3 linked regions of the Xenopus tropicalis genome follow. The protein of the gene in region 1 interacts with the protein of each later gene in a pairwise test. Links are inferred from orthologs where the notes say so. Each region holds a gene or a part of one and is shown on either strand. Other genes may lie near its edges. The genes, in order: mab21l3, stac3 and aggf1.

Evidence for each region.
Region 2: the proteins of mab21l3 (region 1) and stac3 interact in binary tests that used the Homo sapiens proteins (3 or more experiments, as listed by UniProt). The two-hybrid records come from large-scale screens. The link is inferred for Xenopus tropicalis from reciprocal best matches to the Homo sapiens genes MAB21L3 and STAC3.
Region 3: the proteins of mab21l3 (region 1) and aggf1 interact in binary tests that used the Homo sapiens proteins (3 or more experiments, as listed by UniProt). The two-hybrid records come from large-scale screens. The link is inferred for Xenopus tropicalis from reciprocal best matches to the Homo sapiens genes MAB21L3 and AGGF1.

What each region holds. Positions count from the first base shown.
Region 1 is NC_030678.2:1,107,458-1,114,494, forward strand, and holds part of mab21l3 (protein mab-21-like 3), read right to left. Parts: intron 4,109-7,037; coding exon 3,817-4,108; intron 3,721-3,816; coding exon 3,539-3,720; intron 2,106-3,538; coding exon 1,911-2,105; intron 1-1,910.
Region 2 is NC_030678.2:140,043,068-140,050,013, reverse strand, and holds part of stac3 (SH3 and cysteine-rich domain-containing protein 3), read left to right. Parts: intron 1-81; coding exon 82-173; intron 174-1,708; coding exon 1,709-1,760; intron 1,761-4,403; coding exon 4,404-4,541; intron 4,542-5,826; coding exon 5,827-5,925; 3' UTR 5,926-6,946. UniProt on the Homo sapiens protein: Required for normal excitation-contraction coupling in skeletal muscle and for normal muscle contraction in response to membrane depolarization. Required for normal Ca(2+) release from the sarcplasmic reticulum, which ultimately leads to muscle contraction.
Region 3 is NC_030677.2:185,018,448-185,025,484, reverse strand, and holds part of aggf1 (angiogenic factor with G patch and FHA domains 1), read left to right. Parts: intron 1-883; coding exon 884-980; intron 981-2,343; coding exon 2,344-2,528; intron 2,529-2,746; coding exon 2,747-2,878; intron 2,879-2,978; coding exon 2,979-3,173; intron 3,174-4,520; coding exon of another isoform or gene 4,521-4,590; intron 4,591-6,542; coding exon 6,543-6,780; intron 6,781-7,037. UniProt on the Homo sapiens protein: Promotes angiogenesis and the proliferation of endothelial cells. Able to bind to endothelial cells and promote cell proliferation, suggesting that it may act in an autocrine fashion.

The sequences.
Region 1 (7,037 bases):
TTATTGGGCTGGGGGGGGGCTGTTTGTGCCTCTGGGTACTGGGAATGTCAGGGGGGCTGTAAGGTGCCACAGACAGTCACTATTTATTGGGCTGGGGGGGCTGTTTGTGCCTCTGGGTACTGGGAATGCCAGGGGGGCTGTAAGGTGCCACAGACAGTCACTATTTATTGGGCTGGGGGGGGGCTGTTTGTGCCTCTGGGTACTGGGAATGCCAGGGGGGCTGTAAGGTGCCACAGACAGTCACTATTTATTAGGCTGGGGGGGGGGGCTGTTTGTGCCTCTGGGTACTGGGAATGCCAGGGGGCTGTAAGGTGCCACAGACAGTCACTATTTATTGGGCTGGGGGGGCTGTTTGTGCCTCTGGGTACTGGGAATGCCAGGGGGGCTGTAAGGTGCCACAGACAGTCACTATTTATTGGGCTGGGGGGGGCTGTTTGTGCCTCTGGGTACTGGGAATGCCGGGGGGGCTGTAAGGTGCCACAGACAGTCACTATTTATTGGGCTGGGGGGGGGGCTGTTTGTGCCTCTGGGTACTGGGAATGCCAGGGGGGCTGTAAGGTGCCACAGACAGTCACTATTTATTGGGCTGGGGGGGGGGGGCTGTTTGTGTCTCTGGGTACTGGGAATGCCAGGGGGGCTGTAAGGTGCCACAGACAGTCACTATTTATTGGGCTGGGGGGGCTGTTTGTGCCTCTGGGTACTGGGAATGCCAGGGGGGGCTGTAAGGTGCCACAGACAGTCACTATTTATTGGGCTGGGGGGGCTGTTTGTGCCTCTGGGTACTGGGAATGCCAGGGGGGCTGTAAGGTGCCACAGACAGTCACTATTTATTAGGCTGGTGGGGGGCTGTTTGTGCCTCTGGGTACTGGGAATGCCAGGGGGGCTGTAAGGTGCCACAGACAGTCACTATTTATTGGGCTGGGGGGGCTGTTTGTGCCTCTGGGTACTGGGAATGCCAGGGGGGCTGTAAGGTGCCACAGACAGTCACTATTTATTGGGCTGGGGGGGCTGTTTGTGCCTCTGGGTACTGGGAATGCCAGGGGGGCTGTAAGGTGCCACAGACAGTCACTATTTATTGGGCTGGGGGGGGGCTGTTTGTGCCTCTGGGTACTGGGAATGCCGGGGGGGCTGTAAGGTGCCACAGACAGTCACTATTTATTGGGCTGGGGGGGGCTGTTTGTGCCTCTGGGTACTGGGAATGCCGGGGGGGCTGTAAGGTGCCACAGACAGTCACTATTTATTGGGCTGGGGGGGCTGTTTGTGCCTCTGGGTACTGGGAATGCCAGGGGGGCTGTAAGGTGCCACAGACAGTCACTATTTATTGGGCTGGGGGGGGGGGCTGTTTGTGCCTCTGGGTACTGGGAATGCCAGGGGGGCTGTAAGGTGCCACAGACAGTCACTATTTATTGGGCTGGGGGGGGGGCTGTTTGTGCCTCTGGGTACTGGGAATGCCAGGGGTGCTGTAAGGTGACACAGACAGTCACTATTTATTGGGCTGGGGGGGGGCTGTTTGTGCCTCTGGGTACTGGGAATGCCAGGGGGGCTGTAAGGTGCCACAGACAGTCACTATTTATTGGGCTGGGGGGGCTGTTTGTGCCTCTGGGTACTGGGAATGCCAGGGGGGCTGTAAGGTGCCACAGACAGTCACTATTTATTGGGCTGGGGGGGGGGGGCTGTTTGTGCCTCTGGGTACTGGGAATGCCAGGGGGGCTGTAAGGTGCCACAGACAGTCACTATTTATTGGGCTGGGGGGGCTGTTTGTGCCTCTGGGTACTGGGAATGCCAGGGGGGCTGTAAGGTGCCACAGACAGTCACTATTTATTGGGCTGGGGGGGCTGTTTGTGTCTCTGGGTACTGGGAATGCCAGGGGGGCTGTAAGGTGCCACAGGCTCGGTACTCGGGGTACAGACCTGTAGGTGGTGGGAGCTGATAACGGGGTGACTCCCCGGGCACCAAACATCCTCCTTCATCTGCCGAACGGCCCGATAGCACTTCATGCGACACCCCCCGTCCTCATCCATTGTCTCCAGCAGGAGGCGCTCTCCTCTCAGGAAAGACAGCTGCCAGTGGTAATTCGACCGGGCCAGGAGGTCAAAGCCAAATGACTATTGGGGGGCAGAGAGAATTGGGGAAATGGGGGAAAATGCACAGATGTAACAATTACCCAAGTACCCGGCCATCCTGACCCCTGTTCCACATACACAGGTCCAAGGTGCACCCCCAAACAGCAGCCAACTGTCTGACCTACAGGGGTCTAACTGCACCCCAAACTGTACCAGTAGCCATACACCCCAACTATCTGGCCTACAAGGGTCTAACTGCACCCCAAACTGTAACAGTAGCCATACACCCCAACTGTCTGGCCTATAAGGGTCTAACTGCACCCCAAACTGTACCAGTAGCCATACACCCCAACTGTCTGGCCTATAAGGGTCTAACTGCACCCCAAACTGTACCAGTAGCCATACACCCCAACTGTCTGACCTACAGGGGTCTAACTGCACCCCAAACTGTACCAGTAGCCATACACCCCAACTGTCTGGCCTACAAGGGTCTAACTGCACCCCAAACTGTACCAGTAGCCATACACCCCAACTGTCTGGCCTACAAGGGTCTAACTGCACCCCAAACTGTAACAGTAGCCATACACCCCAACTGTCTGACCTACAAGGGTCTAATTGCACCCCAAACTGTAACAGTAGCCATACACCCCAACTGTCTGGCCTACAAGGGTCTAATTGCACCCCAAACTGTACCAGTAGCCATACACCCCAACTGTCTGACCTACAAGGGTCTAACTGCACCCCAAACTGTACCAGTAGCCATACACCCCAACTGTCTGACCTACAAGGGTCTAATTGCACCCCAAACTGTACCAGTAGCCATACACCCCAACTGTCTGACCTACAAGGGTCTAACTGCACCCCAAACTGTACCAGTAGCCATACACCCCAACTGTCTGACCTACAAGGGTCTAACTGCACCCCAAACTGTACCAGTAGCCATACACCCCAACTGTCTGGCCTACAAGGGTCTAACTGCACCCCAAACTGTAACAGTAGCCATACACCCCAACTGTCTGACCTACAAGGGTCTAATTGCACCCCAAACTGTACCAGTAGCCATACACCCCAACTGTCTGACCTACAGGGGTCTAATTGTACCCCAAACTGTACCAGTAGCTATACACCCCAACTGTCTGACCTACAAGGGTCTAATTGCACCCCAAACTGTACCAGTGGCCATACACCCCAACTGTCTGACCTACAAGGGTCTAATTGCACCCCAAACATTAGCCATACACCCCAACTGTCTGACCTACAGGGGTCTAATTGCACCCCAACATGAGCCATACACCCCAGTTGCTCAATACCCTAAATGCTGCAGTCCATGGTTTGGGGGTGACTTATCTTCTCCGAGCCACAAACTTGTTCCCATTCTATCTCCCCCCATAGGGGAACCCCCCAATGTTAGGCCCCCACCACCCCAGCCAGAGGGTATTTATAGTCCCGACCCCCACATTTTGGTTTGTTGGTACCTTGACACACTGTATTCTCTCCCTTGGGGGCCAACGTTTAAAGAACCGGGGCCACTGGGCTTTTCTGGGCCAGAACCCCGGAACCTCAAGCACAGGAACCAGCTCCACCTCCACCATCTGCTCGGAGGTCTCCACGTTCAGCCTGATGGAGGGCCCAAAGGACTCCAGTACATTCACCTTGTCTGGGGGCAGAGAGAGGTCCAACCCTGAGTGACTCACACTCACACTCACACTCACCTACATGTGGGCAATGTGGCAGGTAGGACTTTAACCCTTACCAGTCAGGCTGCAGAAGGTGATGGCCCTATAGAGGTGTTCCAAGAGGACATGTATGACCCGGGCGGGGACGAGGTCCCCCTTGATGTTGACGTCGTTGTCGTGCCAATGGGGGGCGCTCTTCTGGAACTGCTCTATCTCCAGCCACTGGTGCAGCTTCTCGGGTTCCATCGCCGGTGCCACGAGTTGGGTCCCACTTGGGGAGTAGTAACGCCACCGCCGGCTCCTCTTCTGCCCGAAGCCACTGAGACCCCGAAGGGGAACAGTCACCAAGAACTGGGAGGGGCTCAGAACCTGTAATATGGAGTCGGGGCAAGATCAGACCCAGAATGGTACTGGGAACAGAGTAAGTATCCCCTAGTCCCACCTACATTTATAATGGGATTGCCCCCCGGGTAAGTGATCCAATCTCCCCCCAGTACTTACCCAGGTACAGAGCTCTGATTCTCTGTACTTCCTGCTCCTGGGCTGCTCTCTTTCCCATGGTCAGGCAGGAACCCCCCCCCCCGGGTAAGTGAATCCAATCTCCCCCCAGTACTTACCCAGGTACAGAGCTCTGATTCTCTGTACTTCCTGCTCCTGGGCTGCTCTCTTTCCCATGGTCAGGCAGGAACCTCCCCCTGGGTAAGTGAATCCAATCTCCCCCCAGTACTTACCCAGGTACAGAGCTCTGATTCTCTGTACTTCCTGCTCCTGGGCTGCTCTCTTTCCCATGGTCAGGCAGGAACCTCCCCCTGGGTAAGTGAATCCAATCTCCCCCCAGTACTTACCCAGGTACAGAGCTCTGATTCTCTGTATTTCCTGCTCCTGGGCTGCTCTCTTTCCCATGGTCAGGCAGGAACCCCCCTGGGTAAGTGAATCCAATCTCCCCCCAGTACTTACCCAGGTACAGAGCTCTGATTCTCTGTACTTCCTGCTCCTGGGCTGCTCTCTTTCCCATGGTCAGGCAGGAACCCCCCCCTGGGTAAGTGAATCCAATCTCCCCCCAGTACTTACCCAGGTACAGAGCTCTGATTCTCTGTAATTCCTGCTCCTGGGCTACTCTCTTTCCCATGGTCAGGCAGGAACCCCCCCCCCCCCCGGGTAAGTGAATCCAATCTCCCCCCAGTACTTACCCAGGTACAGAGCTCTGATTCTCTGTACTTCCTGCTCCTGGGCTGCTCTCTTTCCCATGGTCAGGCAGGAACCTCCCCCTGGGTAAGTGAATCCAATCTCCCCCCAGTACTTACCCAGGTACAGAGCTCTGATTCTCTGTACTTCCTGCTCCTGGGCTGCTCTCTTTCCCATGGTCAGGCAGGAACCTCCCCCTGGGTAAGTGAATCCAATCTCCCCCCAGTACTTACCCAGGTACAGAGCTCTGATTCTCTGTACTTCCTGCTCCTGGGCTGCTCTCTTTCCCATGGTCAGGCAGGAACCCCTCCCTGGGTAAGTGAATCCAATCTCCCCCCAGTACTTACCCAGATACAGAGCTCTGATTCTCTGTACTTCCTGCTCCTGGGCTGCTCTCTTTCCCATGGTAAGACAGGAACCCCCCGGGTAAGTGAATCCAATCTCCCCCCAGTACTTACCCAGGTACAGAGCTCTGATTCTCTGTACTTCCTGCTCCTGGGCTGCTCTCTTTCCCATGGTCAGGCAGGAACCCCCCCCTGGGTAAGTGAATCCAATCTCCCCCCAGTACTTACCCAGGTACAGAGCTCTGATTCTCTGTACTTCCTGCTCCTGGGCTGCTCTCTTTCCCATGGTCAGGCAGGAACCCCCCCCTGGGTAAGTGAATCCAATCTCCCCCCAGTACTTACCCAGGTACAGAGCTCTGATTCTCTGTACTTCCTGCTCCTGGGCTGCTCTCTTTCCCATGGTAAGACAGGACCCCCCCCCGGGTAAGTGAATCCAATCTCCCCCCAGTACTTACCCAGGTACAGAGCTCTGATTCTCTGTATTTCCTGCTCCTGGGCTGCTCTCTTTCCCATGGTCAGACAGGAACCTCCCCCTGGGTAAGTGAATCCAATCTCCCCCCAGTACTTACCCAGGTACAGAGCTCTGATTCTCTGTATTTCCTGCTCCTGGGCTGCTCTCTTTCCTATGGTCAGGAAGGAACCCCCCCCCCCCGGGTAAGTGAATCCAATCACCCCCCAGTACTTACCCAGGTACAGAGCTCTGATTCTCTGTACTTCCTGCTCCTGGGCTGCTCTCTTTCCCATGGTCAGACAGGAACCCCCTCCCCTGGGTAAGTGAATCCAATCTCCCCCCAGTACTTACCCAGGTACAGAGCTCTGATTCTCTGTACTTCCTGCTCCTGGGTTGCTCTCTTTGCCATGGTCAGGCAGGAACCTCCCCCTGGGTAAGTGAATCCAATCCCCCCCCCCCAGTACTTACCCAGGTACAGATCTCTGATTCTCTGTACTTCCTGCTCCTGGGCTGCTCTCTTTCCCATGGTCAGGCAGGAACCCCCCCCCCGGGTAAGTGAATCCAATCTCCCCCCAGTACTTACCCAGGTACAGAGTTCTGATTCTCTGTACTTCCTGCTCCTGGGCTGCTCTCTTTCCCATGGTCAGACAGGAACCTCCCCCTGGGTAAGTGAATCCAATCTCCCCCCAGTACTTACCCAGGTACAGAGCTCTGATTCTCTGTACTTCCTGCTCCTGGGCTGCTCTCTTTCCCATGGTCAGACAGGAACCCCCCCTGGGTAAGTGAATCCAATCTCCCCCCAGTACTTACCCAGGTACAGAGCTCTGATTCTCTGTACTTCCTGCTCCTGGGCTGCTCTCTTTCCCATGGTCAGGCAGGAACCTCCCCCTGGGTAAGTGAATCCAATCTCCCCCAGTACTTACCCAGGTACAGAGCTCTGATTCTCTGTACTTCCTGCTCCTGGGCTGCTCTCTTTCCCATGGTCAGGCAGGAACCTCCCCCTGGGTAAGTGAATCCAATCCCCCCCCCCAGTACTTACCCAGGTACAGAGCTCTGATTCTCTGTACTTCCTGCTCCTGGGCTGCTCTCTTTCCCATGGTCAGGCAGGAACCTCCCCCTGGGTAAGTGAATCCAATCTCCCCCCAGTACTTACCCAGGTACAGAGCTCTGATTCTCTGTACTTCCTGCTCCTGGGCTGCTCTCTTTCCCATGGTCAGGCAGGAACCTCCCCCTGGGTAAGTGAATCCAATCTCCCCCAGTACTTACCCAGGTACAGAGCTCTGATTCTCTGTACTTCCTGCTCCTGGGCTGCTCTCTT
Region 2 (6,946 bases), about 140 Mb from region 1:
CCCTGTGCCTACACTTTTTCAGAAATGAATTCATTTTTTGCGCAGCTTTACCTTTCTGCTTCTTTCCATTTGTGGTTATAGAATAAGAAGGCGCAGCCTGGGTTCATGCAGTCCCATTATTTTGTCGCTTTGTATCGCTTCAAAGCCCTGGAGAAGGATGATCTAGATTTTCAGTGAGTATAGCCTTGCTGGCTAGTATAGTCTCATACAGCTATTCTCTAATTTGTGCCCCATGTGAGAGTCATAAACAGAAAGTGCCTTGCTATTTATGTAGTTCCTCAAAGGGTAAAAATGATGCTCAGGGAACTTTGTAAGCACTTTTCCAATTGACCTTGATCATTTTTTTTAAGTTTTAGAGCTGTTAAGCTATTTATTGGTAATATAATGTGCTACCTGCTGGTCAGTTGCTCTGACTGTATGGTGGTAAAGATATATGTTCAGAAGGAAAACAGAAAACTGTTCTAATGTTGCTTTGTGTAGGAAAGAAGCACAAACCTCAGATAACTTTGCAGATTGACCCAGTTTCAGCAAATTAGCCCAAGTGTTTGGAGGGAGTATAGGCTTCTATAGGTATGGGATCCATTATTCAGAAACCTGTTATCTAGAAAGTTCCAAATTATTGGTTAGCCATCTCCCATAGACTCCATTTTAAGCAAATAATTCATATTTAAAAATAAAATCCTTTTTCTTATAATCCTAAATTATAACCTAATCCCAACTAAAATATAATTAATCCTTATTGGAAGCAAAATAATCCTAATGGGTTTAATTAATGTTTGGAGGTCCAAATTATGGAAAGATCCCTTATCCATTAAACCGCAGGTCCCAAGCATTCTGAATAATAAATCTCATACTTACTCTCATAATTCAAGATGTAAGGGCAATTTGATAAATGTTTATTACTAATTTAATATGTGTACATTCTATTTAGTAAAGGTTTCATGCTCTGTTTTTGGATTGTGAAAGTAATATCCCATAATAATATCCCCTAGGAAGGAATATCCCATAATAATATCCCCTAGAAAGGAATATCCCATGATAATATCCCCTAGAAAGGAATATCCCATGATAATATCCCCTAGGAAGGAATATCCCATAATAATATCCCCTAGAAAGGAATATCCCATAATAATATCCCCTAGAAAGGAATATCCCATGATAATATCCCCTAGGAAGGAATATGCCATGATAATATCCCCTAGAAATGAATAGCCCATGATAATATCCCCTAGGAAGGAATATCCCATGATAATATCCCCTAGAAAGGAATATCCCATAATAATATCCCCTAGAAAGGAATATCCCATGATAATATCCCCTAGAAAGGAATATCCCATAATAATATCCCCTAGAAAGGAATATCCCATGATAATATCCCCTAGAAAGGAATATCCCATGATAATATCCCCTAGAAAGGAATATCCCATAATAATATCCCCTAGAAAGGAATATCCCATGATAATATCCCCTAGGAAGGAATAGCCCATGATAATATCCCCTAGAAAGGAATATCCCATGATAATATCCCCTAGAAAGGAATATCCCATGATAATATCCCCTAGAAAGGAATATCCCATGATAATATCCCCTAGAAAGGAATATCCCATGATAATATCCCCTAGAAAGGAATATCCCATGATAATATCCCCTAGGAAGGAATAGCCCATGTCTTGTCCCTGAATTTCCTTGCACATTATTGTTTTCACAGAGCTGGGGAAAGAATCACCGTAATAGATGACTCCAATGAAGAATGGTGGAGGGTAAGTAATAAAAATACAGTTGTCCTTGTACAAACGGCAAATTCAGCAAAGTAAACATTGTGACACATAGAAATACTTCCAGCCCAGGCCAATTCTGCCTTAAATATAAATAGTGATGAGTGAATTTTTTTTGTGAAACAGCCGCAAAAATTCACAGAGTAAGGAAAAAGTTACGGTCACATCAAAACAGTTTTGCTAATTTTTCAGCAAAGCAAAACCGATTCATCACTTAAAGCCACAGTGAGCCTGGTCTGCTTTTGCATTGCACGAGAGTACTCTTTGTTTCCCTAGGATGCCCAACAGTGTAGCAATAACCCCTGTATTAGCATATCACCAACAATCCCATCTTAAAGGAACAGTAACGCCAAAAAATGAATGTGTTTTAAAGTAATTCAAATATAATGTACTGTGGCCCTGCACTGGTAAAACTGGTGGGTTTGCTTCAGAAACAATGTAATAGTTTGTATCAGGGCTCCCCAACCTTTTATATGCATGAGGAAAATTCAAATAAAAAAGTAGGATTCCTAGGGTGCCAAATAAGAGCTATGTTTGGCTATTTGGTAATCTCTATGTGAACTGGCAGCCTATAGAAGACTGTTTGGCATTATGCCGGGTTTTTATGCAACCAAAGCTACCTACTTTGAGGCCACTGAGAGCAACATCCAAGGGGGTTGGTGAGCAACATGTTGCCCCTGAGCCACTGGGTGGGGATCACTGGCTTATATAAATAAAGCTACTGTGTAGTAATGGAGGCAATTGCAATAGGACTAAATGGCACAGGTTAAATAGGGGATAACAGAGGCTCTGTAGAACACCATTATATTCTATAGAGCTTATCTGTTATCTGCTACATAACCTGAGCCTTTTCTCCTTTGAATGGCTGCCCCCACACAGCAGCTTATTTATACAAACCATAGTAGTTTCCCTGAAGCAAACCAGTGCACAGCAACTGTATTTTATTTGTGAGTATTTTAATTACTTAAAACCATTTTCATTTCTTCATTTTTTGTGTTACTGTTTCTTTAATATCATTCAAACTAGTACAGTCAGGATTACATGCACTTATATTGGGAAAAAGAGCAAAGAACACAGCTGTTACAGATTGCCTACGTTGCCTTTCCTCTATCAACTTATTTCAACATTACTATTGTTTTTTATACACCTTATTTTAACTTTCTTACTGCTGCAAGTTATAATTCAGAAGCAGCCTGAGAGCCACACGTTAAAGACCCTGTTATGCCGTGCTCTAGTTGGCTTCAAAGTTGTGGCAGCAGAAGCTGCATTAGGAAGTTGCAGAACAAATTCCAAATGTTATAAAGCCACTGAACAGTGGAACTGAAGTACAGAGATAGGCTGTTATTGGTCTATAAGTATAAAGAGGTCATGAGGCTAGAAATCCTTAATGTGGAATTGATAGAAACATGTGCTGGTTATTAAGTGAAAATCAGACGTGTGACCCTTTCATGCAACTCTATATTTATACTCACGGAATTGTAGAAATCAGAATTTCCGGCAACAAAAGGAGTATCCAATGATCTCTACTTCAGCACTAACAAAGGAACTGGAAAACTAGCATGGATGTGTAAGAAAATAAGAAATTCATAATTAGCAGCAAAGAGTAAATAATGAATAATCCATAAAGAGAATTACAGGTATGGGACTTGTTATGCAGAATGCTTGGGACCTGGGGTTTTACAGATAAGGGGTCTTTCTGTAATTTGGATCTCCATACCACAAGTCTACTAAAAAAATCATTTAAATAAAGTAGGATTGTTTTGCCACCAATATATATGCAGTCATCATTCAAACTACTTGATTTAAATGAAGTCTGTACTCGTTTTGAAAACTGGGAACAATATTAATGATTTATTTCAGGAGCACATTTCAGAACTTTCCTTTTTACAAAATTAAATTTGACTGAGAACATCAGAATATGGTGTGCATTCTCCTGTTCACAGAAATATTTTTTTTAGAATTATTTGTAGAGAGATACCAAGGCTACTGATGGGCAAAACGGGTGCATTTTGCTTTGCCATCGAATTGGCAAAATGAGAAATTTCCCCAAAATGCAATGGAGTCGATGGGAAGCTGAAATTACCTTGTTAGAAAAGCTCATTTTCACTATTCTACAACTATTCTTCATAGAAGGCCCAATGTTGCCATTTGTTCCAAAGATGGTGCCTGGACACCTATAAAAATGGTGTGGAAGGCAAGGAGTAGACAATACTGATGCCTGTGGTTTTTTAATGGTGCACTAGGCTGTGTTTTTTCCCAGCACAACAGAATGCATGGCAAATTCTAGTGTGGATTCCCAAAAATTGTTGCAAAACCACAAATTTTGTCACAAATTTTTATGGGGCAAAAAGTTCACGCATCCCTTACCAAGGCCTTGTATAGTAGGCATATCTATTGAAAACACAACCGTAGAAGAACAAATTGTTAATTCATGAACACAAGACCATCTAAACAGAAAATAGTGAGATGTAAGTTTACTGGCCCATAGAGCAATTTCCATTTAGGAGAAGCAAGAAAATCAAAAGCACTGATCTCTAATGATCTTGGTACAACGATCTATAAATAAATTAAGGAAAATTGATTGTGTTTTATTTATTTGCCTTCGTGTTTGGCCTCTCTTTGTTTTAGGGTAAAGTTGGTGAGAAGGCAGGCTACTTCCCAGCTAACTTTATTATCCGGGTCCGAGCTGCAGAAAGAGTGTATAAGGTGACCCGATCTTTTGTAGGAAATAGAGAAATTGGACAAATCACTCTGAAGAAAGACCAGGTAGGTGCCTATTAATATGCTGTGAGCCAGGCATTAAAGATACAAGTAAAGCATATCTATTAAACTTACTGTAAAAGTCAATAATGCTGTCTAAATCCAGTGATGAAAGTCAACAAATGAGCATTAATGACTAATATAGTTCAACACGAAAGTTATTCATTTAGTTAAAAAGTTTAGGTTTTTTAACCACCAGATATACTGTAGTTTGGAAGGGAAGATGTTCAGGGAACAAACTATATCAACCCAGCTCCCAAAAAATTACCTGTTCCCTTGTACCTATTGGCCAAATGTAGAAGCAGTGGCAGCCATGTTTGGCTGTGTAACTTTTGGTTCCTGTCTCCCTGATCACAATTACCCACAAGGAGCATGTAATCTGAAACCAGGACCAGGTTGGCTTCCAGTGTGCATGCTCCTGTTCATGAATTATGGGACTGTAAAGCTGGCCATACATGCACCGATAATATTGTATGAAACCCCGTTTTGTACGATATTCGGTGCGTGTATGGCAAGTCGGCGAGTCGACCGATATCGCAGGAAGCTGCTGATATCGGTCGACTCGCTGGTCGGACCGGTTAAAAGATTTTGATCAGGCGCCATAGAAGGCGCCTGACCAAAATCTGCCTTCAGCGCTGAATCGGCAGAAGGAGGTAGAAATCCTATTGTTTCTACCTCCTTATCTGCCTGTTTCAGCCCTAAAGGCTAGTTGCGGATATTCACCACGTTAAGGGCTCTGACACACGGGGAGATTAGTCACCCGCGACAAAACTCCCTGTTCGCGGGCGACTAATCTCCCAGAGTTGCCTTCCCCCTGCCATCCCACCGGCGACAATGTAAGTCGCCAGTGGGATGGCACACGCGGCGGCGTGGTTCCCAGGGGACTAATCTCCCCGTGTGTCAGAGCCCTAAGAGACACAGCAACATGGCGGCTGCTAAATCTCACTTTATTTCTTCTTGGTAGTCGTAAACAAAATGAATAATACACAGATAAGCCCTTTTTATAATGAGCTGTGCCCTATCTCAGAGCAAAACAAAGGTTGCAGTTTGATGTTTGTTTAAACAGAGGTTATTATCTACCTTTAAATAAATTACCCTCTTTACAGGGGAGGAGTTGGGGGGAACACAACTATTTCCCTTTAGTGCTATATAATGGCAAAAATGGCTTTTTGGTTTTTATTAAAAACCTGTTTTTGTTTGTTTTATTTCCTCAATATCAAAGTAATTTGCCTCTCTAGTTATTAAAAAAAGACTGGTAATTATAATTCACTATATATTATCTCAATAACAGATTGTGGTGCAGAAAGGAGATGAAGTCAATGGATACATCAAAGTGTCCACAGGGAGGAAGGTAGGGCTATTTCCCCTAGACTTTCTGCAAGAAATCTGAAGAAGGAACAAGATTAAGAGTATCTGCCTGGGAACCCCGGAACAGCCCACACAGGAAGAACCTTCCCAATGCTCCTGACTAAAGGACTATCATCAGTATGATCCTTCATTCACACCACTGTGGATACTGAAATGAGAGTCTTTCAGAAAGCTGTGCTCATTGCTCTGCTGACTCACTCAGCATTGATTTGGGATATTTACGTGTAAGTGAAATTGACCAGACCAAAACCTCAGAGGGCCTGACCAATATTTCAACACCTACTGTATTGTTGCCTCCAAAATGAAAAGATAAAAACCTGAATTCCATAAGGAGGGGGCATTGTTACCCTTTTCTTACCTGTTGGTGTTCTGGTCCACTTGTAACACAGAATCTGTTCAAAAGTTCTGTTCTGTTCTAAACCCAACAACATTCACTTTAGCAATGTGTTCACTAACAAGGGAGAATTTCTTTTTTTTAGATTTCCAGTTGTAATGGTATGATTCTTCTGTAGAAATCTCCATGCGGCACATAGAGCACCATTTTAGAGACTTGAATTTGTGTTTTTGTAATTATATTTAGGGCTGCCTTTATGTGCTTTTTGCATTTCTGTTTCAGTACCTGCAGTGGGTATACTATTGGCTCCCACAGTTTGGTTAGTGACAGTATTCATGCCTCTGCCCTTAGTGCTAAATGAATGTCTGATAGAGACAGTGTTCTTCAAAACCAAGTGGAAGTTATATGTGTATATGGCATGTGACTAAATCACATTCTAATAAGAATACTATACATGGTATTAGATAAAATGATCTTCTTGACACTAGGGGCAGCACAGAGCTTCAAGCAGATGGTAATTACAGGTGACCCCAGAGGTGCTTTCTGCTTAAGTTACCAAGAGTAGCTTTGCAGACAATACCATAGAGTTTAAAATGATCAGAGACATGTGGCTTGTTAAAGGCTACAATCTCAATATTAAATGATCCCATAGGAGGATGGGGATGGGATTTATAGAAATATACATCTATATATACATTTATACAAATCA
Region 3 (7,037 bases), on another chromosome or scaffold:
ACCATATACCCCGACATATACCCCTACCATATACCCGACATATACCCCTACCATACCCCGACATATACCCCGACAGATACCCCTATGGTACCCCGACATATACCCCTACGGTACCCCGACATATACCCCTACCGTACCCCGACATATACCCCTACCGTACCCCGACATATACCCCTACCATATACCCCGACATATACCCCTACCATATACCCCGACATATACCCCTACCGTACCCCGACAGATACCCCTACCGTACCCCGACAGATACCCCTACCGTACCCCGACAGATACCCCTACCGTACCCCGACAGGTACCCCTACCGTACCCCGACAGGTACCCCTACCGTACCCCGACAGATACCCCTACCGTACCCCGACAGGTACCCCTACCGTACCCCGACAGATACCCCTACCCCGACCGATTCACCGACAGACACCCCTACCATTCACCGACAGATGGATCCGAATGAGGGTGAACATAGGGATCAGCCGCTCTTCTAATAAAATACACAGCTGCATATTTTAGTAGCACTGTATGAATAAAGTTCTGCATACATCCAGATTTACCAAGGGGGAGGGGGTGGGCAGGGAAAGGCACATATGCTCCCCCAAATATTGTATCCAGTGTGAGGGGCACAGTGCAGCTTAACCCCAGACAGAAGTTTTTTTCTGCATACGCACTAAGGGGTGCACTCTTGTACTACTGTCCAGGGACTTTGTCAAAGACACATGTACTCTGTACCTACACATGTAAGCTCTTATGGTTAAGTGGTTAATATTCTTTGAAAAAATACTTTGTATAGCTTTGCATGTAGTTGGTTCTATAAGAATAAGGGTTTCGTTTTACCATATGTCACCATAATGATTTTTCTTGGTTCTTGCAGGTAGAGCAACTAAGTAGAGAACTTCATGAAAGAAAGAGAGCAGAACAGACAGCCCAGGAAGTACAGACAGATGGCTATTATGGTTGGGCACAATCTGGTCAGTATCAGTTTTTTTTTTTGTTTTTTTTTTAACAAGGAACTTGTGCACATTTAAAAGCAAAATATGCTATTTTGATATGCATATATTGTGGGGAAAATGTCCCAACAGAGACAGCTCCCCTTATTTAGCAAGAGTATATAAAATTTAGCAAATATGCACATTGAAATTAAGCATCCAACTGCCAAGACTTGCAAAAGAGTGGTTATTTGCTATATATCATTTTAAAATAGAAATTTAAAAGTAAGCTTTCACTTTTTTTTTTTAAAATTAGTATTAGGGCTTAGGTCTAGATTATAATTGGAATAAATACAATGAGGGGTGGTCACTTACACATAGAATTCAGTCTGCATCAGTTTTAAAGATTACGCCAAACTAAATAATCTATATAATAATCTAAATAGTACACAAAGGTGGTATGTTTTTGCAGTTAGGTGGGTATTTTTTGCAGATGAGAATTACATTTCGACACAAGCCTTTGTCAAGGGGTATTCTCATTGACTAAGGCCAGTGCCAAAACATTGGGGTCATTTTCATTTGCCCAAAAATATCTGCTTTGCTTGGTGGTATGTATTGTATACATGGGTGTGTCTGCATTTAAAATTTTGCAAATTACTGTACAGGTATGGGATTTCTTATCTGGAAACCTGTTATCCAGAAATCTCTGAATTACGGAAAGCCCGTCTCCCATAGACTCCATTTTACTCAAATAATTCAGAATTTTAAAACTGATTTCCTCATTCTCTGTAGTAATAAAACAGTACCTTGTAATTGATTCCAACTAAGATATAATTAATCCTTACTGGATGCAAAACAATCCTATTTGGTTTAATTAATGTTTTATTAATTCTTTAGTAGACTTAAGTTATGGAGATCCAAATTGCGGAAAGACCCCTTATCCGGAATACCCTTGGTCCCGAGCATTTTGGATAACGGGTCCTATACCTGTATATGCCAAATTGTTGTATTCTAATGAACTTTTAAAGGGGTTGTTCACCTTAGAGTTAACTTTTAGTATGATGTAGAGAGTACTATTTTGAGACAGTTTGCAGTTGGTCTTCATTTTGTTATTTGTAGATTTTAAATTATTTCAGTTTTTGTTCAGCAGTTCTCCAGTTTGGGCTTTCAGAAGCTGTCTGGTGGCTATGGTCCAAATTAACAACCAGGTAGTGGTTTAAATTAGAGATTGGTATATAAATAGGGGAGGACCAATACAGAAAAAGTAATAAGTAACAATCACAATAAAACCCTAGCCTTACTGAGCAATAGTTTTTGAGTGCAGTGATCGAATTGGATAACCACATTTAGCCTGCAATTAATGTTTTGTAAAGAGATCTTAAATGTTAATTACATTTTTTTCTAGATTATTGTTCCAGTGGAAATGATTACAGTGGATTTGCACCAGGTATGTCAGAACAGGTCAGTGTGACAGAAGACAGCAATTCTTCACAAGTTGTAGCAGAAGCAGTGCTGAATAAAGCAGGAGCAAGCAGCGGTCAGTTTGTGGAAGAGGTGCAAGAAGATACTGTATACGCGCAGCAAGCTGAGGTAATGCAGCCTGTTGGGATACATAGAACTACTGCAGTCTGAAGAGTATAGAGGTCTTTGTTGGGGTACTGACTAAGCAGTTGTAATACATTAATCAGCTAGATATTCTTTTGTGTAATATGGTTAATGAGGGGGCCTTAAAAAGACTTTACAGCCGAGTGAATAAAACAGATCTGTTTGTTGTTGTATTTAAATACTCGTTCTATTTCTTCTATAAGGAAGAGCAGGGATGCTCACTGGCTGACAGTCTGAGGGCGACCGCAGAAGCTGCTGTGACGCAGACTGGATTTGTATATGATGAAAACACGGGGATGTATTATGATCACAGTACTGGATTTTATTATGATTCGGTACGTTGATTTGGAGCAACTATAAAATGCCTATTATTTTTAAAAAATTTGCTTAGGCTGTTTACATTTTGTAACTGGAGTTATTGTGTATCATATCAAGGAGTCCCAGCTATATTATGATGGTACCACTGGTATATATTATTACTGTGATGTGGATAGTGGCCGATACCTATATCATTCCCGAGTGGATCTTCAGTCATTCACTGACACAAACCCTCAGCCAACAAAAGATAAAAGGAGCAAGAAGAAGAGGCGAGATCCGGCCAGCATGGAAAAGGAGGAGGAGAAGGAGAAGGTCTGTATTACAACTTTATACTTTTGGAGGGTTAAAACTCCTCCAAACAAGTTAAAAAAAAAAAAAAGTGCAGTACGAAATGCCCTCATAATGGGCTTCCTCTTGAAGACACTTTTAGGGTGTTATATAATAAATAACCTATAGCAACCAATCAGCAGGAAGCATTAACTGCAGCAGTCATCTTATTGGTTTTATTGGATGCAGATCCTGGGCAAACTTAGTACATTTTATTACATTTGGGGGTTTTGCCTAGGCAGGTTCTGTGACCTAGGTGGTAAATTTAGTATATAAGCAGCTTCTCCAATGGAACTTGCTCTACCAAGCTCACAGCTGAATGGAAGGAGCTACATCTCCCCTTCTCAGCAGAGCTTTATAAGGCAATATGTCAGAGAGATTTGGGTCTTGTATGTTGACAGACATCAACATCATTTAGGAAAATTAAAATATCTTTATGGCTAAAATGTGGCCAAATTATAGCTTAGTTGAATAAACTATACTGCACACTCTGCTCTTTGCATCAAAACATTTTATTTAAAATTTAATTTAATTTGCTTGCATAAATTTACCTTACTCAGACATAAAACGAAAACTGTAAGTGACCCACTCCTTAAAACCCAAGTTGGCTGTCCAATTCTGGTTCTTTTTTTTTACTTAGAATATTTTATAAAGGTTTGTATACAAACGCCACTGTTTTGACTCCTTATTGCTTCATCCCCAGGCAGTTCTTCCACCATTGCTCTCTCTACTGGAATGTGAAAAACTATAAGATTAGCACCAAAATAATACAATGAGACAAGCGCACATTATGTTTTTTTTTTTTTAATCAATTTGTTAGTCGGCTTTTTGTTTTATTATTAGATACATTGGTCGGCTTAAAATGGACTTGTTAGTTAGCTTTTTCTTGTCAGTTCATCAAGGTTGTTAGGGTATACTAGTCTAGCTATATAGGTCTGTCTTCTGATTTCTGCATCTTGCAGTTAATATATTAATTGAGATTTCCCTTTAAACGTGTACATGCATTTTGGGTTTTGTCAGTAACAGGTTTATATACTAAAATGAAGAGCAGGTTGTGCAGCAACAGAAAACTGCGTCTGGCACAATGCCCTTGAATAGCTTTTTGTTCATTTTTTTCTTGGTTGAGCAAACTGCACGGTAAATGTGTCCAGACAACTGGAATAGGGAACCAACTGTATAAGGACATTGTGTTCCTATTTGCTAAAGGTGGAAGAACATTAGATGTCTAATCTACTTTTTTTGCTAAACAAGCTACAGGTTTTGGACTTTAGTGCTTGCATTCGTGCATTCATTTTTCTTCATCGCCAGCTTGACTAATAATCTTGTCTTTAGGTACACAATTTGGCTGACACCATGGCTAGCTTGAAGATTTCCACTTTGGGATACACACCATATAACAAAGGTAGAGTTGAGATGAAAGTGCCAATTTAGTTAGAAACATCATTCATTAATTTGGCAGATGTAAACACAAGACTACCGATTAGCACCTCTGTACATTTTACCACGCAGCCAGCTGATAATATTGCACGTACCATGGGGCTTATTGTGAGGCTCTACATTGTGCTTTTCTCCCCTATACTAACCTGCTACTTTGAGCTTTACTTATTCATGCCTTTGTTAGCATGACCTTTGCAGACAAACCTTGTGTAAGATTATGTTTCTTCTTCTTGACTTTTCTTTTTCATGTTCCTTGGTGCTAAATCGCTAATACTATAAATTTAATCAGTTGTTACCACAGATGGGAAGTCTCCAGCAAAAGTAACTATGCAACCATCATGCTTGTTCCATATACTAATTGTCTCAAAATAGCATTTGAACTGTGCAGTTACATATTTGGATTGAGAACTTTGGACAGGTCTCTGCTTGAACAAGTACTGTACAGCCTAATTTTAGTGTTTTGGTATGCTTTATGGATCTGATTGAATTAAGGCGAATTCAAGATAAATATTCTAGGGAGCTATACAAGCATGAAAAATGTTCCTTGGCTGTTTGGTATGGCCATGTGGGCTGCCAGCCTGCGGTGAAGCACTGTTTGGAGGTGTCCTTGTGTCTTTATGCCTCTATAATTTGCCCCCAGTGCTAGGAATTTAAACAGGAGCACCTCATTTGAGGCCACTGGGTACAACATCAAAGGAGTAGAGAGCATGTTCCATATGAGCCACTGGTTGGGGATGTTAGACAGCTCTAAGTTGCAGGCAGTACAACGCAATACCTCTGATACAAAGAAGCATGATAAAGTTGTGTCATCTTCAAGTTTCCTCACAAAGTTGCACGTCTTTGTTCTTTTTTGTGCTAGAAATATTTTCAGTAATGGGTATGTTATTCATTTGTAATCCAGGCCTTTATTTATATTGGCATGGCAGTTCTTGGGGAAAGTGTTTGTTCTGTGGTTATTTTTAACAAACATTCCATAATGATCCAAGGATCATTTTTGTCTTTGTTTTTTGTCTTTGGGCTTTGTTTTAATTCAGTCTTGATAAAAATTGACCCCTTTTTGTAACCTTAAAACCAGATCTTCCCTGGACTCCAAATTTTGATATTATAGACCCTAAAGATGCTCAGTATTCAGAAATGGAGAAGTGGTGTTTGTACAGGAACCTTCATAAGATATTCCTAAAGTCTAAAACTACAGCAGCCAGGCGCCTGATATTTGTCGTGTTCTACTATAGTTTACGTTACTGTATTGTTCTGTTGCTTAGCATATTTCTACATGTATCCATCATGAGACTTCAACAGCAGCTGCAAAACCATTTTAGGGTTTATATAGTAACGTGGATGTGTTACTGATTGTAAAACCACCTCTTATTGTTTGGGCCACCTATGCCATTAATGTTATATATGATCCATTTTTTCCCATCTATAGGATCATCAACCAATGACTTGGCAGCATTTCTGTAGTAATTTCACTGATCAGCTGTTCTTGTTTCTTAAAAATAGCAATAATCTAACTGTCAAAGGACCGATTTGGCAATATATGCCAAAGATGGAATGAACATAATGAAGTTATGTAATAAATGGCACTAAGTTTGTAACCCATAGCAAACAATCACAGGTACCATTTACTGGTCACCTGTTTAAAAGCAAACATCTTATTAGTTGCAATGGGTTACAGCACCTGGGTAAACTTAGTGCTTTTTATTGCACATGGGGGCATATGTTATGGCAGCCAGTCAGACTTTTAATTAGACCAGGCAAAACCACTGGCAGGGCAAAGCATGTCATTTTACTATATAACCCCCTTGGTTTCCACTTGCATATGATGTTTTTTTTAAATCATGTTCTGGGGAACCTCAAAGTTCTTGCAGTATCAGTTGATTTCTCAAGATGCTACTGTGTTGTCACATTTTCTTTAAGGATACAGAGAAAATGGAACATGAGCCAGTAAGCCCCCCTGAAAGGGAAGAATTGGCTGCTGAGAGAAAGAAAGCTAGGATGGGCAGTTTAGTAGAATCTTATGAAAGAGAGAGCTCATCCTCAGATGAGAGTGAACCAGAGGAGGGAGAAATCACTGACTCTGACAATGAGAAGACTTCCAGTGATGATGACAGGTCAAGTGGACTAAGCGTCACTTCCCACACCTCAGAGCCTGAAGGTGACCTCATTTTGCTGAATGTATGCATTTGCAGGCAGAAATATGATTCTTTGCAACATGGTTGGAAAAATGGATTCAGCTGGTAACTATATTTCTAAGATATTTATTGAACTTCTTTAAATAATAATAAAATAATGAATCGGTCTGTTAGAAATTATTTTCATATTATTTTGTGGTTTAATAAGTATTTTATATTTACCCCTAAATCCATTTTCAATGTCCGTTGTTTATAGTGTAACGTTGAACTCTTTACATTG